Canis lupus familiaris: one gene and its partner. The protein of the gene in region 2 purifies or fractionates together with the protein of the main gene of each other region. This does not show direct contact. Links are inferred from orthologs where the notes say so. Each region holds a gene or a part of one and is shown on either strand. Other genes may lie near its edges.

Region 1 (12,169 bases), on a different chromosome or scaffold from region 2:
CCATTTACCATTTCTCGGTGCTTATAACTCGTACCCGTGGAAGTCACTACCTCTACGGGACTAATGCTTACTTCCCAACCCCGGCTTAACCCTTCCCTGCAAATACATAACAGCACCAGCCGAGCAGCCTGAAACCACAACATGCAACCTGTCAAACGTCATTCAGATTTTTGTTTTATGAAGTCACCCTGTTGACAGCAGTTTTACCCCAAAAGCCATATTAGGAGTTCTCTACTGAAGCTACTGAAACAGAAGCCGCACGGCAACAAGCACCGGTGGACAGACAGAGGGCAGATGGTGGACAGATACAACCAGGTGACGTGGGCCTGCCTGGTTCTAGTCGGACAACCAGTCAGTGGGCTGCATGGGAGGGAGCCAGTGCATGGGGTGTCTCATGTGAGGCTGCAAGAGTCAAAATAAGCAAGCCAAGTCCTTTGACCCTCACTGGGGCTGCAAGAAACCGTATTTTCATTGAGTTCCCATTTTGGGCACTGGCCCCAAGGAATTGCAAGGCATGGAGGGAGGGACGGTGAACTCCAGAACCAGTGGGACATGCTACACATTTTATCTTTCTGAAATTAGTTCTATTTTTGTGAAACAGCCAAGTGGCCTTCAAATTCAGCTCCCGCAAGTGAGTATCAGCTGGCACAAATAAATGTCCTGTTCTATAAATAGCCTGAGGGACCGAGATAACTTTTCTGAGAAAGCCCCAGGGCTGATGTGAGGGCAGTGGCCCTCGTAAGACTCAGCAATTCTCTTCCGTTCGTTTTACTAAAGCCCTAGAGTCAAAGTCAACTCCTGAGAGAACTTTCTCGTACTAATGTGTTCAAATGTGAAACTGTAACTACTACTGTATGTGAAGGTAGAACCACCAAAATCATCCCTGACTCCCTCTGCCCTTCCAGGTCTCAAGGAATGGTCAATGGCTCCGAGCCGTGTGACTCCCTCTACGGCCGATGGCAGGGCTTCCAGGGAGGCTGAGCCAGGTCCCCCAGCCCAGGATGTGCAGGGCCTGTCTACCCAGGCCTCAACCTGGGTGCAGGGCCTCTGCTGCATCTCCTGCCCGGGCATCACCTGCCCTCGTGGGATGGACAGCGGACACCTCGTCATCAACTATTAGCCATTTCAGTGACTTTATCTGCCAGCCACTGGACTCGCTGAGAGCCTAGAAAGGTTGCTGAATGCATCTATAACATGAGGGGTCACCCGCCAACCCTGGCTGCTTCCTAGTTCATCATGAGTTCACAAATCCCCAAATCTTTATCATTTAGCAAAGAGTTGCCTTGGTATCATTGGGTTTTTGTTTTGTTTTTTTTAAATTTATGCTTTTCTCTGTAACTGTTGTTCTTGGGTCTCAACCACACATTACAATGACTCGTGGGCAGCCACTTTATCAGGCGAGCGATCAGGCACTGGGAGCAGACCGCCGCAGGACCTACCATCGCCAGCTGCCGTCCTATGTTGCCCACGGTGACACCTCCTGAGAAGAAGATACACGGCAGCCAGGAGCGGATGTAGAGAAAGTCTGGGGACGTGTATCTGCAGAGAAAGCAGAGGAAACGGTACCTAATCAGTCAGCCTCCCCGAGCCTGGCTGGCCTCTGGGGGAGAGTCCACCAGTGGGGAGACGCACGATGCGCAGCAGCCACAATGGGCCGCAGGACAGTCCCGTCTCACCGCTGAGCTTACTGCCACTGCTTCACCTCCCTACGGTTAAGTTATGGGTGGTACATTTTTTTTTTTAATTTTTTTAAATTTTTTTTATTTATTTATGATAGTCACACACAGAGAGAGAAGCAGAGACATAGGCAGAGGGAGAAGCAGGCTCCATACACCGGGAGCCCGACATGGGATTCGATCCCGGGTCTCCTGGATCGCGCCCTGGGCCAAAGGCAGGCGCCAAACCGCTGCGCCACCCAGGGATCCCTGGGTGGTACATTTTTAACATAGGAATCAACAGTAAGTATTTTTGAGAATTTCATGCCTAAGTCAACATCATGTATGTATTAAAAAAAAATATGGCATCTCAGCTTAGTGGGCGTTTTTAATAAAAGTGAAGTCATAGCTTCTAGGTGACGTAGATATGCTAGAGAACATACTTACTGATAGACACCATTGTACACCAGCAGCTGAGTGATCAGAGTGGCCAGGAAGGCAATAGTGATCCCAAGCCCAAGGCCACTTCTTGAACGGTCAAATGTCCACCAGAGGCCCAAAGACAGGGCTGCTAACGTCAAGGAGAGCTGGACGTTATTGGCAAAATCCAATTTCTGGTGATGCAAGGTTAAGGACAAGTCCAGTGATTTTTAAGATGCTCAAAATAAGCCAAAGGAAAAAACTAACAGAACAAGCAAACAAAGCAACTCAGATCCTATACATGTTGTCATTATTATGTACCACATAAGTCTCCATCTAAAAAACCCTCCCCAAGAACAGGGACCCTTGGCCTCCTCTCACTGGGCCACAGAAGCCAGGTCTTCTTAATGGAAGATTATGAGGGTGAAACGTAAAAGAATTTATAAAACCAATTCCAAGGAACCAGGAGCTACTGTCTGACAAAACAGAAAGTCCACTCTGCTTCTCGTATTATTTCAACAGTTTCCTGAACTATTCTGAAAACTCTATACACCAAGCAATATGCTTTAAAATAAGATAGTTGGAAGAAGATCATTCCACTAACCTATGAGATAATATATACTCGTTAGAAGTAAAAAAGTGCTTCAACATATGACCTAAGGAAATGCCCTGGACGTAGCACATCCTCTGAAGGATACAGCACTGGCGTGGTTGATGCCAACAAACACAGCCACACAGCGCATCACGCTGGCCCACTCTCTCTTAAACTTGTGTGGTTCTCCCAGGTGACTGTCGATGCAGGGGTACAGCAAGCCCACCACAGCTGCCAAAGAAAACAACATAAGTCAGCTCTATGAGAACACACATGAGAACACGCCAGCTCTATGACAACAGGACTTCTAAGTGCGATTAACAGATTATTCAAACCAGTTCTTTTCCTAGAAAACATATATGCTATAACACAGCATTTGAATTAAGTCTAATTTTTGTTGGTCTTTTTTTTTGTTTCGTCTTCCTTGACTACAAACAAAAGGATCACACTGTTTTTGAAAAATTGCTGTTCTTCAGTTTAATTAGACACAGAACTCAATCAGGTGGGGGGGGGGGGTTAATTATCCATATAATGCTGTGACCAGTCAGCCATGCTGAGCCACCCCTGTGAGTCCAGGTCCTGACCTGTGGGAACAGCCTGGGACCAGGCCCAGGGAACCAGGCCCCTGGTTCACTGTGGGCTCTGATGGGACCTGGATCCTCATGTTTGTTTCCTCATGTGTAAAATGACAAGGGTTATGTAAGCAGAAGGCGGAGTAGGAAGAGTTAGGGAGTTTTCACAGGCACAGATTTTTAAAGGAGAGAGGACACAGAGAACTTAGACAGGGGGAGGGTGTGGCACTCAGGGACATAGTAAAGGCAGGAACAAACAGGGTGCCTGGAGGCTGCTGGGGATCCAGGCCCACGGGACCAACTGTGGGACATGGGGCTCAGCACTTAAAGATGCCAAGTGCAGAGGCTTGAAAGCCAAGGAGCAGTTCCACCTGCTATCCTAGGAAAGGAGTAACTAGTTCAGGTTCCTGGACAAATAAGGGACACAGTTCTGGTGAAAATAATCAATGAAACTGAGAGTTTCAGTTTCAATTTTGTCTTACAGTTTATCAAATTCTAATTTTAAGAGTTTTGAAAACTGAAACCCAAACAATTCTATAACTTATTTAGCTATAACTTAATCTTACCTTTTAAGGTTAAAGGGTAAAGAGGCACAACCGTACTGAAGAATTTTGCCCTATGCTTATCTGGTAATTTTTTTTTTTTTTTTTTTAAGGAAGGTATGAGAAACTGAGAGAGTGCAGAATTCCTTGACGCTTCAATTGCAAATAAAACCTAACCTAAAATATTTCCTTTTTAAGACCGAATTTTTGATTCAGAGAAAGAACTACTGTACCAAATGTGCATGAAAGATGGGATCTGCTCTAGGTAACTTTCTCAAAAAGGATTTTTAATAGGATAGCTGTATGATTAAAGGATTTAGAAAGGCAAAGTAGGATCCTACCTTTCTAAGAACGGAGATGAAGGCACTGTACCCACTGAGTGGGTGCTCTACCCCCACCCCTCACCCGGCAGTGACTGACGTGCCCTGGCCAGAACATAGCTTCCACTCCCAGCCCTGTGCCATCCAGCTGTTCTCAGCCAGTCTGCTGCAAAGAGGATGTGTCTCCACAGTGTAGGGGACACACCCAGACTCCAGGGAGGCAGTTTGCAGAGTTATGCACAGCGGTCTGCCGTTTACTGTGTCCCCTTAGACAGGGATGCTTAAAGTCTCTGCACCCAGTTTCCACATCTGTGAAATGGAGCCATCACAGAGTACTGTTGTAAGGAGTGAACAGGCTTAAGTTGTAAGCACGTAAAACCCACGGCAGGCAACCCATCAAGGCTGGACACACAGCCCACAGCGCGGCACCCCCGCGACGGCTGTCCCACTTGGGTACACCTGTGCTCTGCCCAGCAGAGCGTGGCTCCCCGAGGGCAGGGGCCGAGGGCTGGGGCCCGCCCCGCCCGTTCTCTACTCCCGCAGCTGGCAGCTGGCGAGGCTGCAGGAAACGCCTGACACGGCGCGTATGCACGAAGGCTGCGCCGCTAGAGAAGCGCTAGGCGGTCTTCCGAGCCAAGCCGAGATCCACCACGCGTGGGCACGGGAGCAGAACAAGTCCCCCAGGAGTCAGCGGCCCCTGCGCACGGAGTCAGCGGGCGGCACCCCGCGGCACCCCGCGGCCCGCCGGGCGTCCCCTCCGCCCCGCCCCGCCCCCGCCCGGCGGGGCGCACGTGACGGTTTGTTTTCGGTGGCCGGCGGGTAGCGTGTTCGCGCGCCGGGCCAATGGCAGCGCCGCCGTGCCGCTCACCAGTTCGCCCGCCGCCAATCCGGGGTGCGCTCAGCCCGGGGACGGCGGCGGGCTCGGCGCGCGCGGCCCCCGGGCCAGGTCGGCGGGAGGCCGGCCCGGCGGCCCCGAGCAGCGCCCCCGAGCGGCGCCCCCACCCCCGCTGCACTCACCGGCCGCCGTCCCGCAGCACGGCGGGACCCACCAGGCCGACGAGAAGATGGTGGCGATGACCTCCTCGGGGAACAGCGTGACGTTCCGCTGCACCTGCAGCAGGTTGAGCACCAGGGCCAGCACGACCCCCACCGAGAACAGCACCAGGCTCCGTCGCACCAGGTGGTGGTGCCAGCTGCCCGGGGAGCCGCCGCCAGCGCCGCGAGCCCCCCCCGCCCCGGGGCTGCGAGGCCCGTGAGCGGGCGCGGGGTCCGGGCCGCGGCGGGCCGCCAGCGCCGCGGGGCTGAGCATGTCTCCCACTTTAGCCGCCAGCCCTCCGGCCCCGGCCACCGGGAGGCCTCGGTGCCTGGCGCCCTGGGCGCACGAACAGCTCCAGCAGTGGTCGTCCAGCCGGGGCATCGGTCACCGGGGCGCGCCGGCGCTCCTGCAGGGAGAGGGGCGGGGCCCCGTCACGCTCGCGGGCGAGGGGAGCTGGGGAGCTGGGGAGCTGGGGAGCTGGGGAGCCGGGCCCGGGCGGCGTCGGGCGGAGGGCGAGGTGCGGGCCTCGCGGCTCGCGCGGGAAGCCGGGGCTCCGGGCGCCCGCAGACGGCACGGCCCGCGCCCAGGTCCCGCCGGGTGCCCGCTGGGTGGCGCGGGGCTGCGGGCGGCGGCGGCGGCGGCCAGGCGTCTGGGACCGGCTGCCAGCACCGAGCGGCCCCGGTGCCCTCCGCACGCGCCTCCAGCGCTGGCCCGTCCGGCCCCAAAGTTTCCCACACGCCGTCCGCGCGCAGCGCAAGTTACCCGGGCCCGGGGCAGGGGGGGGCCGAGCCGACCCGCGGGGGTCAGGCGTGCAGCTCCGCCCCGGGGCCGGGCCCGGGTCCCCGCGGCTCCCGGGGGTGGGTGGGGGCGCCCGGACCGCCCCAGGCCCCGCGCCCCCGGCTCCCGCCCCGAGCTCGGCCCCGGAGTCTCCCACGCTCCCCGCGTACCTGTCCGGGGGGGCGCCCGCGCGCGGGCTCGGGGGGGAAGAGGTCGCGGCCGGGACCGCCTGGAGTTGGGCCCGTGGCGCGGGGCGCGCGGCGCGGCTTATAAGGCGGGCGGTGGGGCCCGGGTCACGTGACCCCGCCCGGCCCGCCGTCGGGGGGCGTGGCCTCCGCGCGCCCCGCCCCGCCCGCGCGCCCGTCCGCTCGCGGTCTGGTGAGGCGGCGGTGGCCAATCGGAGGCGGGCGGCCCATATGACGTCAGCACACGCCACCGCCACCTCGCGCCCGGCGCTGGCTCGGGAGCGCGGACGGCCGGCGGGTGGACTGCGGGGCGGCGGGGCGGGTGGACGGCGGCGGGGCGGCGGGGAGCTGGGGGCCGGCGGGCCCGGAGGGGAGGGGAGGGGAGGGGAGGGGAGGGGAGAGCGGGCGGCGGGTCCTCCCCGGACGTGGCGCACGGTGGCGTCCCCTGCTAACCGGCCTCTGCACCGCGCCGGCAGCAGGTGATCGCGCTGCACCTGCCGCGTCACCTGACGCTGCCCCTGTTGTGCCCAAGACCGCGCATCCGAGAAACCGCCGAGGAGCCGACGCCGCTGCAAGTACATGAGGGTTTATTTGCAAGCTGGAGCTTGGGTCCAAGTGTACCCGACACAGCGGAGCAGGGGCTCGGACCCCGAGGCTAAGAAGCACAGCAGTGTTGCAGGGGTCCGTGCCCAGGGAGATTGTAACACACAGAAAGTTGCACAGTCATGTCGGTGCGCACGCAGGTGGCCGATTGAATTACGATTCGCCCTATAGTGACCATTTGGACTAGCCTATTATTCTGGTTAGAGTTGGCGCGCAGGTTCGGCGGCAGAAGACGGGGTTTTCATTCTTTGGCGGTTAAAAGTCAGAGGTCCCGCATTCCTAGGTGTGCTGGTTCCTGATAAGGGTGTGCTTAATAGCTAAACTGGGGTGAGGGAGTGCCTTAAACAACAGGCAGGTCGTGTGGGGGGTTTTACATGAGGTGGCGGGTGCAGCACAAAATGGAGTTAGTCCTGCTCTGCTTGTCCAGGGGTAGGGCATTAACGTCAGATTTCCTGGGTCCCACAGCCCCTACCTCTCCTGTCTGGCCCGCTTCTGCAGAGCCTGACGGTCCCCACACCTGCTCCCTGGCCTAGGTGGGTGGATGCCCCGCACGAAGCCCGGCGCGGAGATGGAGCTGTCGGCGGGTGTGTGCTTCCCGGCGGCCTAGAGGGGTCCAGAAGCCCTTCTTAGACATGAAATCTTTGATGAAAATGCAGATGATGCACTTTTCATTCCTGCAGTGACTTCTCCCACGTTCACGTTGCCTTTCCTTATTTACGGAAAGCAAACCATCACACGTACTGCAGAAAAACAGAAAATGTAAACTCTTATTAAACTTTACTCTTCAAAAGCAGATTGCTTTACCTCGTTGATGTGTAATGTGTTTCGACCCTGTTTCCCACATGTGTCACACCGTGCCCCGTGCTAATCTCACATCTTGTTGAGCAAGATGGTATTAAGATGTTCCTCAACAGTAGCGGGGGAAGAGTCCGTGGTCTTCTGTAGTGTCCCCCATCAGCAGAGATTGAGAGGAAGTTGGGACTTAGAGCAGATCCTCTGGTGGCTGAGAGACCCCGGGGGCTGAGGCAGCATGAAATCCCATTGCACGTGGCAACTTCAGTATCAGGGTTTGTGACTCGGTGCCAGAAGCTTTAAAAAAATGGAGACAGCCTCCTGAGATACTCATATTTTTCAAAGTTCCTTTTTTTTGTTGGGTGGGGAGATGGGAGGGGAGGGTTCACATGATTTTTTCAATGATGAAACAGGAAACTTCAGGAAAAAGTAGTCTTACAGTGGCTGTGTTCCCACTCCGTGACTTTAAGGGGTGTTTCATTAAAGTTTTGAGAAGCACAGCGTAAAGACACTTGCCATCCATTAATTAGCTTGTTACTATTGCATCAGCGTCCATGGTGGGTTTTCTGCTACTGCTAACTTATAGGCCAGACACAGCCTGGTTATGGTGTAAACACCCTACAGCCAGTCCATCATGCCAACCCAGTGTGAACGTAACCTACTAATCTTTTCTACCTCCATGAGAGCCTAAGTTTTTAACAAGTTTCTTCATCATGAACTATGACAAAAGTGTTTTCAAACACTCCTGCATAATCAAGACTTATAATTTGCTAATAATGTCACTTGTTTGCATTTCTTGGGCACGACCCAAAGTGGAAGTGGGTGGGAAGGAGGGGTTCCGTCCTCACGTCTCTCTGTGAGAAGGGCAGAAGCTGGCTTTCACACTCTGTGTATCCCTCTCTAAACCCTGATCACCACTATAAACCTTGCTCCCAGAAGTTCAAAGCGCTCTTGACTTCATGGCATAGTGTCATGTGGGTCTTGGCCATTTTCTCCACGCATCTACTGTAAGTGCACACCGTTGTAACATTGGAACTTTGTAAAAGCAAAAACATGAAAAGCTGCCCAACTGTTCACTGATAGGAGATCGTCTGGCTCAATGACGGCACACGTATCCAAGGGACGCTATGTAATCACGTCACTGCCGGCTCAGCCATCAGCAGCCAGTGTTCTCTCTCCCTTCCCCTGCCATCAGCCTGCAGTGTCATATGCAGGTGGAGAAGCACTTCTTTCAATCAAGGTGTGAATCTTGTGGACGTGGATCTGCATCAGCCTCGGCCCTGAAATGTCGGCATGTCATGGACTCAATCAGGAAAGACTAGTAAATGCAGGGAGCTTCTCACCAGCTTTCAAAAACTGGTCCATTCAGGTATATGAGGCCCAAGAGCAGGGGGGACTGCTCTTCACTTACCTGCCAAGCTGCTGTGTAGGTGGATTCCTTACAGCACTGAAATTAGCATATCTGTCTTCTGGGATCTAAGATGTGTTAGGTTTTCTTTATGTTTTTTTCTCTTGCCATTTTGCCTGGCCATGCAGACTACTCCAGTGTCGCTTTTAGTGTAATACCCTTATGTACAAGTACAAACCTTATGAAAATACATATTTTTAAAAAGATTTACTTATCTATTTGAGAGAGAGTGTGTGTGCAAGTGGTGCAGGGAGAGGGAGTGGGAGAGAGAATCTCAAGCAGACTCCACTCTCAGGACCAAGCCCGAGGTGGGGCTGGATCTCACGACCCTGAGATCATGACCTGAGCTGAAACTGAGAGTCGAACACTCAACTCACTGAGCATCCCAGGCGCCCCTCATGAGAATATTTTATAGGTTTCTGTGTTGTCTGTCTCCTGTGTGGAAACGGACTCTCCATTCCATGAGCTTATTGGTGTGTTAAGGTCTGTTCATGTGCCTATTTCTCTCCCTGCCCCAGCTGCTGGCCACACAGTCCAGCCTCTGACCCCTCATTCCCTCACATCTGTCCTGGGACTTTGTGAATCAGGAGCCCTCCGGGAGCCGCTTCGAGGCCCAGGGAGCCTGTGGGAAGTGGGAGGGCTGCCTGCGGACTGTGTTCTGTTGGGTCCTTGCTGAGGGCTGTGGATGTGGCCTCAGTACTGCTGCCCCACGGCCTGTGGTTTGCTCCAATGCCGGTGGAATCTGGTCCCACGAATGAAGTTAGGCTAGGGGAATGGCAATGGAAGAATGTGAGTGTACATTGTGAGGCTTGCAAACCACAGGCTTGGTTTCAGAAACAATATTCAAATATTTTGAGAATTTGCAACTCCATTATCCCCAGTGACGTTGTTATTGTTGCAGCTTCTCTAATACATAAGGGCTCTCTGTCCCCCCCCCAGCCCCAGTCAGTTACTCAGAGTTAAGTATTTAGGGAAATGTGTTCAGGAGAGCATTTAGTTCTTAATTACTTCATTTTATGTTAATCATTCATTATAGATGGGCCATCATGCAAGGAAAGTTTACTGTTGGTAATGGACCAAATGCTGTGACGTACTTTCTTCCCAAATCACTAACTCAGGACCCAAGACCTCTGTAGCTCTCTAGACACAGAAGACTCAAGAGAGGAAGGGAAGAGCCAGGTGTCTAAGACCTTTGAGAGGTCTTGCAGTGAGTGCCTATAGTCTGTATTCCTACTATTGTGTTTTTTTACACATTAATAACCATTTATAATAAATATTTTTAAGAATAGGGTAGAAGGCTAAGTATATTGTTTTTAATAGAAGAACATCACATGCTCGTTTCATTCAGAAAATATGAAAGAATATATTTTATTTTAGTATTTTTTAATTAAAAGATTTTATTTTTTGAGAGAGAGAGAGAAAGAGAGAGAGAGGAGGAACAGAGGGAGAAGGATAGGCAGATTCCCTGCTGAGTATGGAGCCTGACATGGGGTTCAACCCCATGACCCTGGGATCATGACCTGAGCTGAAACCAGTCAGAGGCACAACCGACTGATCCGCCCAGACGCCTCAGGAATATATTTTTAAAACCCATAATCCCAGTGACCAGAAATAATGTAATATTTCGGGGTGTGTACTTCCACATTTTTTTCCTGTGCATAAGTGTGTGTTTGTGTTTAAAACAACTAAGTAAGATCATACTTCACATATAATGGAACCAGACCTTCAGAGATAATGAGTAGCTCTCCAAGTCAATCAGTATAGATTAGGTCATCGTTTTTAAACAGCTTTATTAAGATACAATTTACTAACCGTGCAGTTTCCCCATTTAAAGTGTACAATTCCATGGCTTTGGTATATTCACAGATGTGTGCAATCATCACCACAGTCAATCCTAGAACATCTTCATCAACCCAGAAAGAAACTCAGGCTTTAGCTGTCCTTTCCCTCCCCACCCTCCACCCCATCTTCCAGCTTCCGCTCCCCAGCCCTGGGCAGCCAGCAATCAATTTTCTGTGTCTATAGGTTTTCCTGCTCTAGGAGTTTATATGAATAGTATTATATAATAATGTGTTCTTGGGGGACTGGTTTCTTTCACTTAGTGTAATATTGCAAGGTTCACCTATGTTGTATCATGTGCCAATACTTTACTTTTCATGGCTGAATGATATCCCATTTCACAGAAATGCACATTTTATTATCCATTTACCATCTCATGGATAATTTCGTTGTTTTCACTTTGAGGCTCTGACGAGCAAAGCTTCCGTGAACGTTGGTATGTACATCTCTGCGGGGGCATGTTTTACTTCTCCCGGTGGGGCTGCTGGGAGTACAGTGCTGTATGGAACTGCTAGACTATTTTCTAGAGCAGCTGCCCATTTCACATTCCATCCAGAGGTATACAAGTATTCTGATTTCTGCATATCCTTCGCAATACCCGTTACTAGTGGACCTTATGTTTCTCATTATCCTAGTGGGCATGAGGTGCTCAGGTCATGATTCTGGTAGCAAGATAGTATTCTTGTATGTTGAGGAGCATCTTGACTTCCTTGTTAAGACTTTATTGGCAAGTGTCATACGAGGGTGAGGCAAAGAGGTGAGTAGGTTGGCAAAGAAGGAAAAGCAAAATGCAAGGTAGTGCCTTACTGAGTCAGCTGCAGCTGTGTGAGAAACATGTCCGGGATCTGATTATACAAGATGTCTTCCACTTTGCAGGAACAGTCCTCTGGGGGAGAGAAGCATACCTGTCAGGGCTCTGTCTGGTGGCTCCAGGTTCACCCCACTTGGTCCAGGTTCGCCCCCGTTGGTCCAAGTTCATCCCTCTCTCTCCTTCTGATCCCAGCCCCTCTGTACAGCTGCTGGCAGCCCGATTCCATAGCCAACAGCGCATCGTCAGAATCAGAAGTGACAGGAAGAGCCCAGAGCTGGGTCTGTAGGTCTGGTTGGCTCAGATTGGCCTTCAGTCACTCGAAAAGGGAGTACAAAATACATGATTAGCCAAGAGACTACAGGGGCCAAGGGCTGTCCCCAAATGTGCCACTTTGGCATACTGATTATTATAAAATAGAAGTTACTAAAGAGCCAGCTTGTGCAGAAGGACACTCAGACCCTCCTCTGTCCCCTAAAAGCAAGGAAAAAATCTCCCACGTGCAAGTTCCCTCCGTGGACCAGGAGGTAGAGAGACATCGTCATGACTAGAGATGGGAGATCTAAAGCCATGAAGTCTGTATCAGCGACCCCTGTTACTTTTTACTAATGCACTACCCC
Region 2 (12,304 bases):
AAAAAACTGTGGAAAAACATTTAAATGCGTAACAGTAAAGATGGAATAGCACAGGAATGTTATGATTACCTTAATCCAAAAGGAGCACTCAGCAATAAAATATAGCCAAAATAAATAAAACATCTTAAAACATTAATCTATAGGTATACTTGATAAATAAACCAGAGCATAAAGAAATATTTTCTATCAAAATCTCATCTTGGGCTAAAAAGGGTGTTTTAACTCCTTTGTTAATAAGAACACTAAGTTTTTGCTTCTAAGATTTTAACATGTTTTTATTAAAAATAAATCTGAATATAATATTTTTAAAAGTCAAACCCTATAGTTGTTAGAGGAAGAATAAAGTTTTACATAAATATACATTCATAAACATTCTTTTTCGCTTTTTACCTGAAGAGGATCTCATTGAAAAGTGGAGTATATTTTTTAACTTTAAAAAAAATTTGCATTTCTGATTAGTTATCAGCAAGGGGATCCTCCAATTTTTCTTTCTTTTTACATTTTTTTAATTTAAATTCAATTTGCCAACAAATAGTATAACACCAGGTGCTCATCCCATCAAGTGTCCTCCTCATAGCATGTCACCCAGTTACCCCATCCCCCAACCCTGTTTCCTAGAATTAGGAGTCTCTAATGGTTTGTCTCCCTCTAATTTTTCCCACTCAGTTCCTCCAATTTATTGACCACTCATGCTTCTTCCTCTGTGAATTGCCAATTTATCTTTTATCCACTTATCTATGGAGTTGTTTTTCCTTCTTGAATTTTAGACATTTAAAAATATTCTGACTACAAATTCTTTGTCAGTTACCTATAGTGCAAATATCTTCACCAGGTATGTGGCTGATCTTTTCACATTTCTGATACTGCCTTTTGATTAACAAAGGTTTTTAATTTTAATACTAGTAGATTTATCAATCTTTATATTACTTTTACATACATGTATTTTTAGAGGGGGTGAGGAGCAGTGGGAAAGGAAGAGAGAATTTTAATCAGGCTCCACACCCAGCACAGAGCCCGATGTGGGGCTCAACCTCACAACCCTGAGATCATGACCTGAACCAAAATCAAGAGTCAGAGGCTTAAGCAACTGAGCCACCCAGGCACCCTAACTTCCATATATGTTTAAAGAATTTCTCACTTATTCTAGGGTTAAAAAAAAAACCCTCTGTAATACTTCTATATTTTCTTCTAGAAATTTTAAAGTTCTGCTTTTCACATTTAGGTATTAACCCACTTAGAATTGTCTATATATTGATGTGAGGTAGGGAATCCAGCATAATTTTTTCCATATACTGAATGACCAATACCTGAATAATCTGTATTTACCTCAATGGATGTACTTCGATTCTACCTCTGAAACAAAGTAAGTTTCTCTATATACATGGGTGCTCTGTTTCTGGGCTTTCCATTCTGTGCTATTGGTCTATTTGTCCATTTCAGTGATTCCTAACCAGGATCAGATTTTTTACCAACCCAACCTCCCCACCCCCACACCAGGCATTTGGCACTATCTAAATACCTAGACAGGGGCAGCCCGGGTGGCTCAGCGGTTTGGCGCCACCTTACGCCCAGGATGTGATCCAGGGAACCTGCGATAACGTGTCAGGCTCCCTGCATGGAGCCTGCTTCTCCCTCTGCCTGTGTCTCTGCCTCTCTCTCTCTCTGTGTCTCTCATGAATGAATAAATAAAACCTTTAAAAAAATAATAAATAAATACCTAGAGACATTTTTAGCAATCACAAAAAGGGGAAGAGGGTATGTAACGGGTATGTAATGGGTAGAAGGACACTGCTAAAATTCCTACAATTCACAGAACAGCACCCCCCCCACCTCCCCCCAAAATTACCCAGTCTAAAATGTCAATAGTGTTGCTGTCGAGAAATTCCTAATCTATCCCTATCGTGTCAAAATTACTACTGCTGCAATGTTTTCTCACTTCAAAGGTTTTCTGAGTTCCTTCTACAGCACCAAATATCGCTCTCATTCTTTTCAAAACCTTTATTGTACGTCTAAACCTAGCACAAAGAACAGATTCCCTTTTAATAAATACTTAGATTAACAATTTATTTTGTTATTACCAACAATGCTTCAACAAAAATCCTTTCCCATAGTCTTTGAACAAGTACAACTATGTCTTTAGGTCAAATTCTCAGAATTGGAATTGTGAGTCAAAAGGTGTATGCTGAGTTTTAGTTAGGCAGTACCAAATGCCTTTACAAAGAAGTGACAGCATACCAAAACTGTCTAACTTTACTCATTTCCCCACACCTTTGACAAACAAGTTTTTATTTGATCTAACTCTTCACTAATCTGATAACTGAAATTTTGTTCTTACTGCATTTTTTAAAATTATGAGTATTTTTCTTTTGCTTATTGACCATCTGCATTCATTTATTGGGAACTACTTATCCTGGGCCCATTTTTCTCTGGGAGTATAAGGTTTTCTTAATGACAGAGTAAAACTTATTCAATCTCATACAATGCGAATAGTATCCTCAGTTTGTCATTTTTAGAATTGTTTTAAAAAAGTTTTATCATAAAAGTTTTTCATTTTTTATGTATTCAAATGTATCGAATTTTCCCTTGCAATTTTGGGATTTTATTGTATATTTATTTATTTTTCTTGTATATTTAAAAAGGCCTTTCCACTTCAATGAATTACCATTACATGTAAAACAAACTCCTATGCTTGCATTTTCTGCCTTAGATTTGTTAATTCAGCATTATGCTGCACTGGGTTGCATTTCATTTAGCACTTAACACCTCCTAAGAATAGCTTAATATGCTTAAATACTTTATATATTGTGATTGGATTTTATTTAGATCTCCAAATGAGATGCTTTATATTCTCTCATCTGCTGAAATTCTCCTAGTATTTTGATACCAAAGGTGCTGTGGTAGTACTTTTTTGTAGGGGAAGGGAAATTCTTCAGAGACTAGATATAAAATTGGTAATGCTTCCATTTTTACAATTTCATTTTACAGAAAAAGGTGAGACTGACAAGTTTTGAGATTTATATATAGTAATACTGAAACGTCTACAATTATTTAAAAAAAACCTAATCAGGTGTAGAATAATTTCAACTATCCTTTGGCACCTATTACACACAAATCCATCACTTTCAGTAACATAAGCTGCCTCATTGACTGGACCTCAAATACTGAAGATGTGTTTTTATTCAGGGTGAATTTCAGCAAAAAACTAGTTTTTAAGAATTTTGTCATTCTTGGGGTGCCCAGGTGGCATAGTCAGTTAAGCGTCTGATTCTTAGTTTCAGCTCAGGTCATGATCTCAGGGTCCTGAAACAGAGCCCCATGGGCAGGGTCTGCCCTCAGTGGGGAGTCTACTTGGGATTCTCTACCTCTCCTGCTTATGCTCTTTCTCTAAAATACATAAATCTTTTTTTTTTTTTTTAAGAATTTTATTCTCACAAATGTGAAAAATTAGCAAACTATAGTGGCATAAGGTAAGGAGCGATCTGGAAAATATTTTGTATTTCTCACAAAGCGTAAACAGAAAACTCTGGGAACAAAGCACCAAAATTATACTGATGCCTTCAAAAGACCAAAATATCTGTAAACAGTATGGTCTTAATTGAAGTACAGGAATATTTCTTTAAAAGTTATCAGGCTTATTAATAGCTAATACTTAGTAGACTTTACTAGGTCCCAAATACTGCTCTATGAGCTTACATCCTAACTATTATCCGTAACATCCTATGACAGACCATTATTGCCCACCTTTAAAAATGTAAAGATAAGAAACAGGAGGTACAGAGCAGTTAACTTGCCTGAGGTCACATTCTACTTTAACTTGTCGAATACGAACTTCCATGATTTACTACAAATACCAAAATTACTGTTCAGTGTTCTTAAATACATATGATTTAATTGACTACTCCCTTTTCCTTAAAGCTCAACTCTAAGAGCCCTGCATTAAAGACCTGGTCACAAAGAGACTGTCAGAGGATATGCAGTCACAGGCCAAAAGCATATTCAAGGCAGTGGCTACACATTTGCCAAGTGAATACATGAATCCTCTCAAACACAGCAGTTTTGTTTTTCGGGTTTTGTTGCTGTATCATGACCTCCTCTCAAAACAGAAGTGAGGAAAGTCATCCTCCGACCCTTTTGTCTTTGTTATACTTGATTAGTTTCCAAAGCAGCACTTGGGTTATCCCAAAATGACAAAGTTCCCTAGAAGTCTGTTAGCTTCTGTTCTCTCTCTAGCAAGCTCTCTCTCATCCCATGGGGTTGAGGAATAAAAATAATATTTTTTTTCTTCATTTCTCTCCATACCAAGAATTGGCATAGATCTAGCTTGCATACATATCATCTCCTAATGTGGGTAGGTATGGCGGGGAAAGAGGGCTGGCAGTTCATCCGCCTCAGCTGGAATACTTAAGTAACTATACTGAGATTAGCCTGTTAATTTATGATCATGATGAGTGGTTTCTAATTGGCAAAAATAAAATGCCTTCCCAACAGGTCCCCTTTATTAATTTCACTTTAATGTTATTTTACTGAAATCACTTTTACCCATGACTATCAGAGTTAACCAAAAATATATTGAGTATGAAATATTAAAACTAGTGAATGCGTTAAGCTGAGGTATAACTGACATAACATTCGTTTCAGGTGTAAAACATGATTTCGTATTTGTATATACTGTGAAATCACACAGGCCCACTTTTGCCACAAATAATGAGGGCATTACACTTTTGCAGTGGTAAGTGGGAATGACTGGGATTAAGCAGCTAGTGGTTCCTGAGAAGTCTGGTGCTAAGATCATCATTTTCACATCTGTTAGTTTAAAGATCTAGTATAGGATCATTACTATACCATTCTGTATCTGGATAGCAGCTGTATGGAGGAGGAAAGTGAACCACCCTTGATGTCAGAAGCTTTGTAAGCCCAGGCTCTGACAACCACTTAATTGCTGTATATTAAAGCAAAACACACTTGACCTCTATAGCTCTCAGTTTCCTCATTTTAAAAACGAGAACAACACAATCCACCTCTGAGGGATGTTTAAAGTTTAGGTTAGTGAAAATGTTTTACAAAGGTAAAGTACCAAACAAACTGCCAATAACAAAATTCTTTTTTTTTTTTTTTTTTTTGAGGAATAAAGAAGCAACAGATGGCTCCTAATTCAGAAAGGCCTGGTTAGGATCTCATCATCAACCCTTCCTCAGCAACGCTTCAAAATCACAAGCCTCCTAAACACCGATCACAAGAATTCCCTCATCAACAAAATTTGCCAAGTTTCAATTACTTTAAAAAATTCTTGTATGCATAAATGCTTCTCACTCTGGTAATGCAAGGGTAGATGGGGAGTGAAACGTAAGAGATTTTTAACACTCCATTCATGTGCAACAAAGACACTGATTTTCAGAACTCTTCCCTTGGAAAAGTCTCATCACTTTCTAGCCACGTTTTTATAACCACTTTTCGGTACCTCTCTATTCATGGAAAATTTCAGGACTCGTTACAGGCATCGCCTCCTTCACGAGCGTTTCTAGTAATGGTTTCGAGGCAGGACATTCAAAACCCGGACTCTTTCGCGTGGATGTCATTTACCACGGACACGCCACGATCACGTGGACCTCGTGGATACAGAAGTGACAACACACCAGTACTCCGCATTTGGGGAAAGGGGGAAACTGAGGCCCAGGCCCTGGCACTACAAGCCCAAGGTCACAGGCGGCGAGACCCGGGGCAAACGGCTGCTGTTTTCCTCAGGCGGCCGGCGCCCGTTCCCCAGGAGAAACAGCAGGCGAAGCGCCGCAGGCTCGCACATCCGCGCGCTCTCCTCACCCTCGGGCGCAAACACCAACAGAGGGCTGACTCTAGGAGGACGCTCGGCTGTCAGCTCCGAGACAAGTGTCATCTCCTCCCTCCTCCCAACCTGCAAAGACGCCCCTATTGGCGAAAAAAACCGCTGGTCCTCGAACGCCCGTACACACGCTCCCCACAGGCTGCGCGCGGAGCCCGTTCCCCGCAGCACGCCGCGGCCCTCACAGCCGTCCCGGGACGCGAGCTACGCCGCCGCCCTCACCGAGGAGCCGGAGGACGATCTGGAGCCCGATGCAGAACCGGCTTTGGCTGGAATCGTAGTAGGAGTTGAAGATGGCGTCGATGATGTAGAGGCACGGCACCCGGAGCGCCACCTCGAGCGCCGCCCAGACCTGCTGATGGGCCATCCGCACCTGCTGCTGCGGGGGCCCCACCGCCGCCATGAGCCGCTGCCACACCGGGGCTGGGCGAGCCGGGCAGGGCCGCGCGGGGCAGGGCCCGGGGCCGCGGCCGGGGGCGGGGGCTACGGCGGGTGACTCCGCCCCTGCCCTCCCTCCTCGCGGCTCTCCCTCGCGGCCCGCCCCGCCGCCCGCTCGCGTCCCTCGAGCTGGAGCAGGCGGCGGAGGCGGCAGCGGCGGAGGTAGCGGCGGCGGCTCCCGGGAGGCCTCTGGGTGTCGGTGTTTCCGGCTGGCTAAGGTCTGGCTCCTCCTCCCTCCAACACCTCCCCCGCCCGCGGAGCCACCATCTTGACCTCGCCCGCCTGCCTCTGCCGTTGCTGCTGTTTGGAGGCCTGGAGGCTGCGCCCGCGGTCACGCGAGACCGCGGAGCCCGCGCCACTGATTGCATCATAATCCCGCGCTGGGGGCGCTCCCCACACCGTCATCACGCACGGCGTAGCCATCGTCTCGCGCGTTGCCATGGTTTCCGCCCGCCTTCGAGGCTTTGGCGCCACCTCACGGCGCAGGCGCTCTCGGGCCGCCGCGCCTTCTTGACAGAGTGGCTTCCTTACTGGAGGCGGAGGCGGCGCTGGCTCTGCGAGGGACTCCCTGCTTGCGTGGGCGGGAATTATTAGCTGTTTTATTCTGGTCCATTAAACGTCCCGGAAGCGTTCAGAGCTGCTTGGGAGGAGGGAAGCGAAGGGCGCCGCCCGCCGGACCTGCCGCACCTCGCGCGGGGGCGGGGGCTGGGAGGCGGCCGCCCGGGGTCCCGCAGGAGCGTCTCGGGGCGCGCGGGGGGCGGCGGCCGCGCCACGTGGCGCCGGGTGGGTGCGGCCGCGCTGCCGGAAGAGCCGCCCTGTCCGCCCTGCGCCGCCGGGCAGAACCGAGGACGCTGGCGGGCCGCGGTGTGCTAACGTCGGGGCCTCTGACTGAGCGCCTCGTCCTCGTGTCTGGTCTGAGGTGAGCGCACCCAGGCCGCCGCTCTCCTGCGCAGGTTTCTGTCGGGACCAGCATATGCCACCCGCGCCACCTGACGCAAGGGGTACTTTGAACTGAAGGTAGTCGAGAAACAGCAGCAGCTTTAAAACAAATAATTTTTTTTTTTTTTTTAAGATCCCGGCCTGCTCTCCTGACAGTCGTCTGAAAAGTAGGCCGTAAGTTTCCATTTGTAAAGGGGTCTCCTCCTGCCTTTCGAAGAACAAGGCACCTCTTAGACTGTCTCCCACGAGCCTTCTCTTCCATCAGTTTCCCCCATGTTTAAACTTACCGTGAGTTTGCGACCCCTGAAAGCCTAGACCCCTTTTTCTTTTGTCACTACTCTACACAATTATTATTTTTTTAAAGATCTTATTTATTTATTTATTTATTTATTTAAGGGAGTGGGGAGAGAGTGAGCAGGGGAAGGGGCAGAGGGGACGTTGAGAATTCACGCTGACTCTGCACTGAGCAAGGGGCTTGACCTCATGACCCTGGAGATCAGGACTTGAGCTGAAATCAAGTCAGATGCTAATGTCTAGACTGACCCACACAGGCGCCCCCCCAAATTATTTACTTTTTTGAGAGAGCACATACAGGAGCAGGGGTGAGAGGCAGAGGGAGAATCAGGAACACCCCACGCTCGGACTCCACCCCAGGACCCTGGGACCATGACCTGAGCCGAAGGCAGATGCTTAAGGACTGAGTCACCCAGGCGCCCCCCGCACACCATATTATTCTTTTGTTAAGATAATATATAAGCCCCAAATCGTATATATATAAGGCCCCCCCTTTGAGTCATCTTCACTGTCTCCCGTGGGCATGTGCACTCAGGAGTTAATAAACTGTTTTTCTCTTGTTAATTTCTTGTTTGTGAATTTAATTTCCAGGGCCCCAGCCACAGGACTTAAGACCAGGAAAGAAGAGGTCTTTTTTCCTCCCCTGTACTTTCTTGCCTACCCATGTAACTAACATAATTTGGCCATCCTTACTTTTCTTTCCTTCAGCAGCAAATGAGTGTAAATTAGGTCAGAGTCTGCTTTACTAACCTGGCCATCTTAAGGAGGTAAAACAGGAAGAAGAAGGATCCTGACTCATTCAGGCTCCTAGCCCAAACTGCACTCTGCTGTCCTTTTCATGTCAGGGACCTATATGGGTGATCATCCTATACTAGTTAAAAACCCTCCAGAGGGGAGGATTATAAAACTCCCAACTGTCTCTGGGTGGAGTTACGTGTGGTAGGATGATTGACTCACAAACTTCTTGCTCAGTGTCATGTTTTTAACCTTTTGTTGTTATTCCCCACTAATAACGACTGCCATCTATCTGGTGCTTACTTTGTGCCAGGCACCATGCATTATGCTTCACTCTCTGCCATCAGAGAGGGTAGGTATTATCTGTTTCAGAGAGAAGGAAGCTGAGGCTTACATAGGTCATCAAAATTACAAAGTACATATATAAGTAGTAAGCTAGTGTGACCATAGCTAGTAAGAGTAGAACCCAGGGCTGGGATCTCTGGGTGGCTCAGCGGTTAAGCATCTGCCTTCGGCTCCGGGCGTGATCCTGGAATCTCGGGATCGAGTCCCATGTCGGGCTCCCTGTATGGAGCCTGCTTCTCCCTCTGCCTGTGTCTCTGCCTCTGTGTGTCTCTCATGAATAAATTAAAAAAAAAAAAAAAAAAGAACCCAGGGCTATCTGAAGCTTAGAACTTCAAGCATCTTCCTCTTCTCACCCACAGCCAGTCTGCTACACATTGCACCCATTCTTTCCTCAGTCTTTTGTACCTGTCTGCTTTCTATTGTCACTGCCACTATCAACCCAAGATCCTACTGTAGCTTGCCTGACTAACTGCAATATCCTCATTGTGATTATTATGATCACCGTTTTTCCTACTTTAGTCTGTTTACCTCTGCCAGGTTAATTTTCCCAAATTACACATCTGGGGAATAAACTCATGGTGCTGACAAAATTCCCAAAGGAAAGCAAACTCGGTAAGATGAGAGGACTATTAAGGTTTATTTATATAGAAAACCTCAGAGACGTAAATTAGCTTCTCACCTCACCTGTTTTTCTGCCCTGATGGCAATTTAAAGCAAAAAGAAGCTGTTACAGAGAAGAGTCCACAAGGATTAATCTAAAACAGGAATGTGGTAGAGAAGGCTAGGCGAGTACCATTATGTTAGGATTATGTAAAATGGAGAATAAAATAGTTCATGGGTTTTCCTCAGATTTTTATTTTAAAAGTTAAATGTAGTAAATAGTAAATAAAAATCTTGTAAAAATGCTTCGGCCCTTATTGTTTTAATGGTTTCTTAAATGGCACAAATTTTATTAGTATAGAAGTTTTTTTAAGATTTTATTTATTTATTCATGAAGGACACCGAGAGAGAGGCAGAGATACAGTCAGAGGGAGAAGCAGGCTCCACGCAGGGAGCTGGATGTGGGACTTGATCCTGGGACTCTGGGATCATGCCCTGAGGCAAAGGCAGACGCTCAACCGCTGAGCCACCCAGGCATCCCAGTATAGAATTTTTTTTTTTAAATATTTTATCTACTTGAGAAAGCAAGGGGTGGAGGGGAACAGAGAGAGAGGAAGCAGACTCCCCGGCTGAGCAGGGAGCCTGACTTGGGGCTCGATCCCAGGCCCCTGGGACCATGAACCCAGCCAAAGGCAAACACTTAAACCAACTGAGCCACTCAGGTGCCCCCTTAGTGTAAGAATTTGTAATTCAAACTAAATACCATTTGGGCCAAGAACTTTCAGGAGTGGTGGTAATAGTCATCTTTATCTCACATGGTAAAGCACTCTAGAGCTGACTTTCCCCATCTATAAAATGAAGGTTTAGTAAGACCCTGGCAAAGTACTTCAAAATACTACCTTAAAACTAAATGTATATTACTGAGATGGATTTTAGAAAGCTTAGGAATATTAAAACATAAGCTTTCAAAAGATTTTACCTACTCCAGGGGTGCTTTTACATTTGGCATCTCAAAGCCTTTATTTCTAAGTTCAGTTTCATCATGTCTGAGTTTCTCCAGTTGCCTGTTTACATGTTTTTGTTTTGTTTTCTTTTTAGAGAGGGAGAGAAAAAGAGAGGGGCAGAGGCAGAGAATCTTAAGCAGGCTACATGCCCAGCAGGGAGGCCCAATACGGGGCTTGATCCCATGCCCCTGAGATCATGACCTGAGCCAAAATCAAGAATCGGATGTGTAACCGACTGAGCCACCCAGGCGCCCCTGCCTGCTTATATTTTATGGGTCCGGTTAAGTTAGGAGAAATAGTCACCTGCAAGTAAAGATGAAGGGATGCCCTTTCTGTACTAAAAATCCTGTACTACCAAAAAGTTGGTGATTACCATACCACTCGATAGATGCTATGATTGGAACAGGGGAACAATGAGGAAAAACTCAGAGGAATCGTTTTTTTACAAAAGGAACTTACTAGCTATGGGTTGCTTAGCTTTGCAAGAGGTTTTCTCAATTTTATATCAGGAAATGTCTGTGTTAGTCATCTTCTCAACAGAAGCTAAATTCCTAAAAAGCATAATCGCTCCATAGCACCCACCACAATGAAAAAAAAAATTAAATAAGCTTCAGAAACAGCTGCAATTCACTGAATTTAATCTTTGCTTGGCTTCTACATTGATGAGTGTGGCACAACTCAGGTACATATTCATATTGAATCTATACAGAGCAGTGTGAACGGTGTGTGTGTATTCATACAGATACACTCTATATACATAAATTACCTGTGTTTAAGAATAACAATCTGTTCATTTGGCTTTAATGGCTGAATGCCTTTTAGTAGTTCTAAAAAGCCTTTGGAAGTAAGATGTGTGAAAACTTATCTGAATTTTCTATTGATCTTTGCATTTACCAAGTCTTTGTTCCACACAGCAGCAAATGATTCTGAGCTATCTTAAGTAAAAAAGGTATTAGAGAATTATTTTCATTATTTTTCAAGTTTCAAGAGTGATATGCAATTGGTGAAGCTTATTGTACCATGTATCTTCCATAGCTGTACCAGAAGGCAGGTGCAGGCAGCTTCCTTAGTGGGAGAAAGCAATAGGAAACAAGGACTTAGAACCACCCACCCCACCCTCTTCCCCACCAATGAATTATGTATTTACTTCAAATGGAAGAAGAGAATGCTAGTAGGAAGGACTGGAACTGATAGCTCAAAAAGAAATAAATATGTTCCATAACTTTTTCTCACACCTTGGAAATTACTTAAAAAAATAATTTCTGGCCTGAAATTACCTGATGGTTTTTCTCACTTCATTAAATTTCAGATATGCCCATCAAAATTCAGCTTCTACTTGAGTTTTCTGGTTTTGTAAATGCAATATGAATTGGAAGAGTCTGTTGTTCAGTTAACAAAAGAAACAACAGAGAACACTGTGACATTTGGAATCCATGTTAAGTATATACTGACTACTTTGGTTCATTCATTCATGTAACAGACATTTACTGAGCACTTTCTATGTGCTTGGCAGTATGCTTGCCCACTTCTGCTTCTTGCTAGTTCTCTGTCTCTAGACAGAGTACTTAAACTCTAATAATCAGAATCCTCACCTGGGAAAAAGAAAAAAAAAGGTTAATATTGCCAGATAAGATATGAAATCTATAGCATGCATTATCCAGTTTAATCTCAAAAAACCTGTTGAAAGTAACAGTAACAGTGGCAGAGCCAAGTTTCTAATTGGTATTTTTCTGATTCCAGAGCCTATCTGGTCCTCTGCAAGTGATTTTTCATGTTGGTTACACAAATTAAAACAATATATTTTAAGTACTTAGTATAATATACAGTATGTAATAGTAATTAGTATGGTGAACAAATTTTAGGAGAAATACTGGAACCCTTACAATACTACATACAACACTTTGCAATGCTTCCATGTATGGCTCAGGACTACTGTTAAGATATTATTTGTTAGTTTGGGTTGTTTTATGTGAAAGTCACATTTGTAGTACTTAATTTATATTAGAATGTAAATAGGTGATAGGTTCAAATATGTCAATCATGTAAAGAGATGGTCAAGTATAATCTGAGGGCCAAGATACTGCTGACAGGCAGAGTATAAGCAATACTAAGT

What was found.
Region 1: the proteins of RNF139 (region 2) and INSIG1 purify together in Homo sapiens (affinity purification with western blotting, with the first as the bait; 3 studies listed by BioGRID). This does not show direct contact. The link is inferred for Canis lupus familiaris from reciprocal best matches to the Homo sapiens genes RNF139 and INSIG1.

Annotation. Positions count from the first base shown.
Region 1 is NC_049237.1:18,986,911-18,999,079, reverse strand, and holds the start of INSIG1 (insulin-induced gene 1 protein), read right to left. Parts: upstream 6,156-12,169; 5' UTR 6,085-6,155; intron 5,544-6,084; 5' UTR 5,519-5,543; coding exon 5,119-5,518; intron 2,899-5,118; coding exon 2,774-2,898; intron 2,270-2,773; coding exon 2,103-2,269; intron 1,540-2,102; coding exon 1,440-1,539; intron 1-1,439. UniProt on the Homo sapiens protein: Oxysterol-binding protein that mediates feedback control of cholesterol synthesis by controlling both endoplasmic reticulum to Golgi transport of SCAP and degradation of HMGCR.
Region 2 is NC_049234.1:22,969,093-22,981,396, reverse strand, and holds the start of RNF139 (E3 ubiquitin-protein ligase RNF139), read right to left. Parts: upstream 6,281-12,304; 5' UTR 6,240-6,280; coding exon 6,059-6,239; intron 5,398-6,058; exon of another isoform or gene 5,319-5,397; coding exon of another isoform or gene 5,124-5,318; intron 1-5,123. Other genes in the region: putative deoxyribonuclease TATDN1, read left to right, coding at 5,132-5,318. UniProt on the Homo sapiens protein: E3-ubiquitin ligase; acts as a negative regulator of cell proliferation through mechanisms involving G2/M arrest and cell death.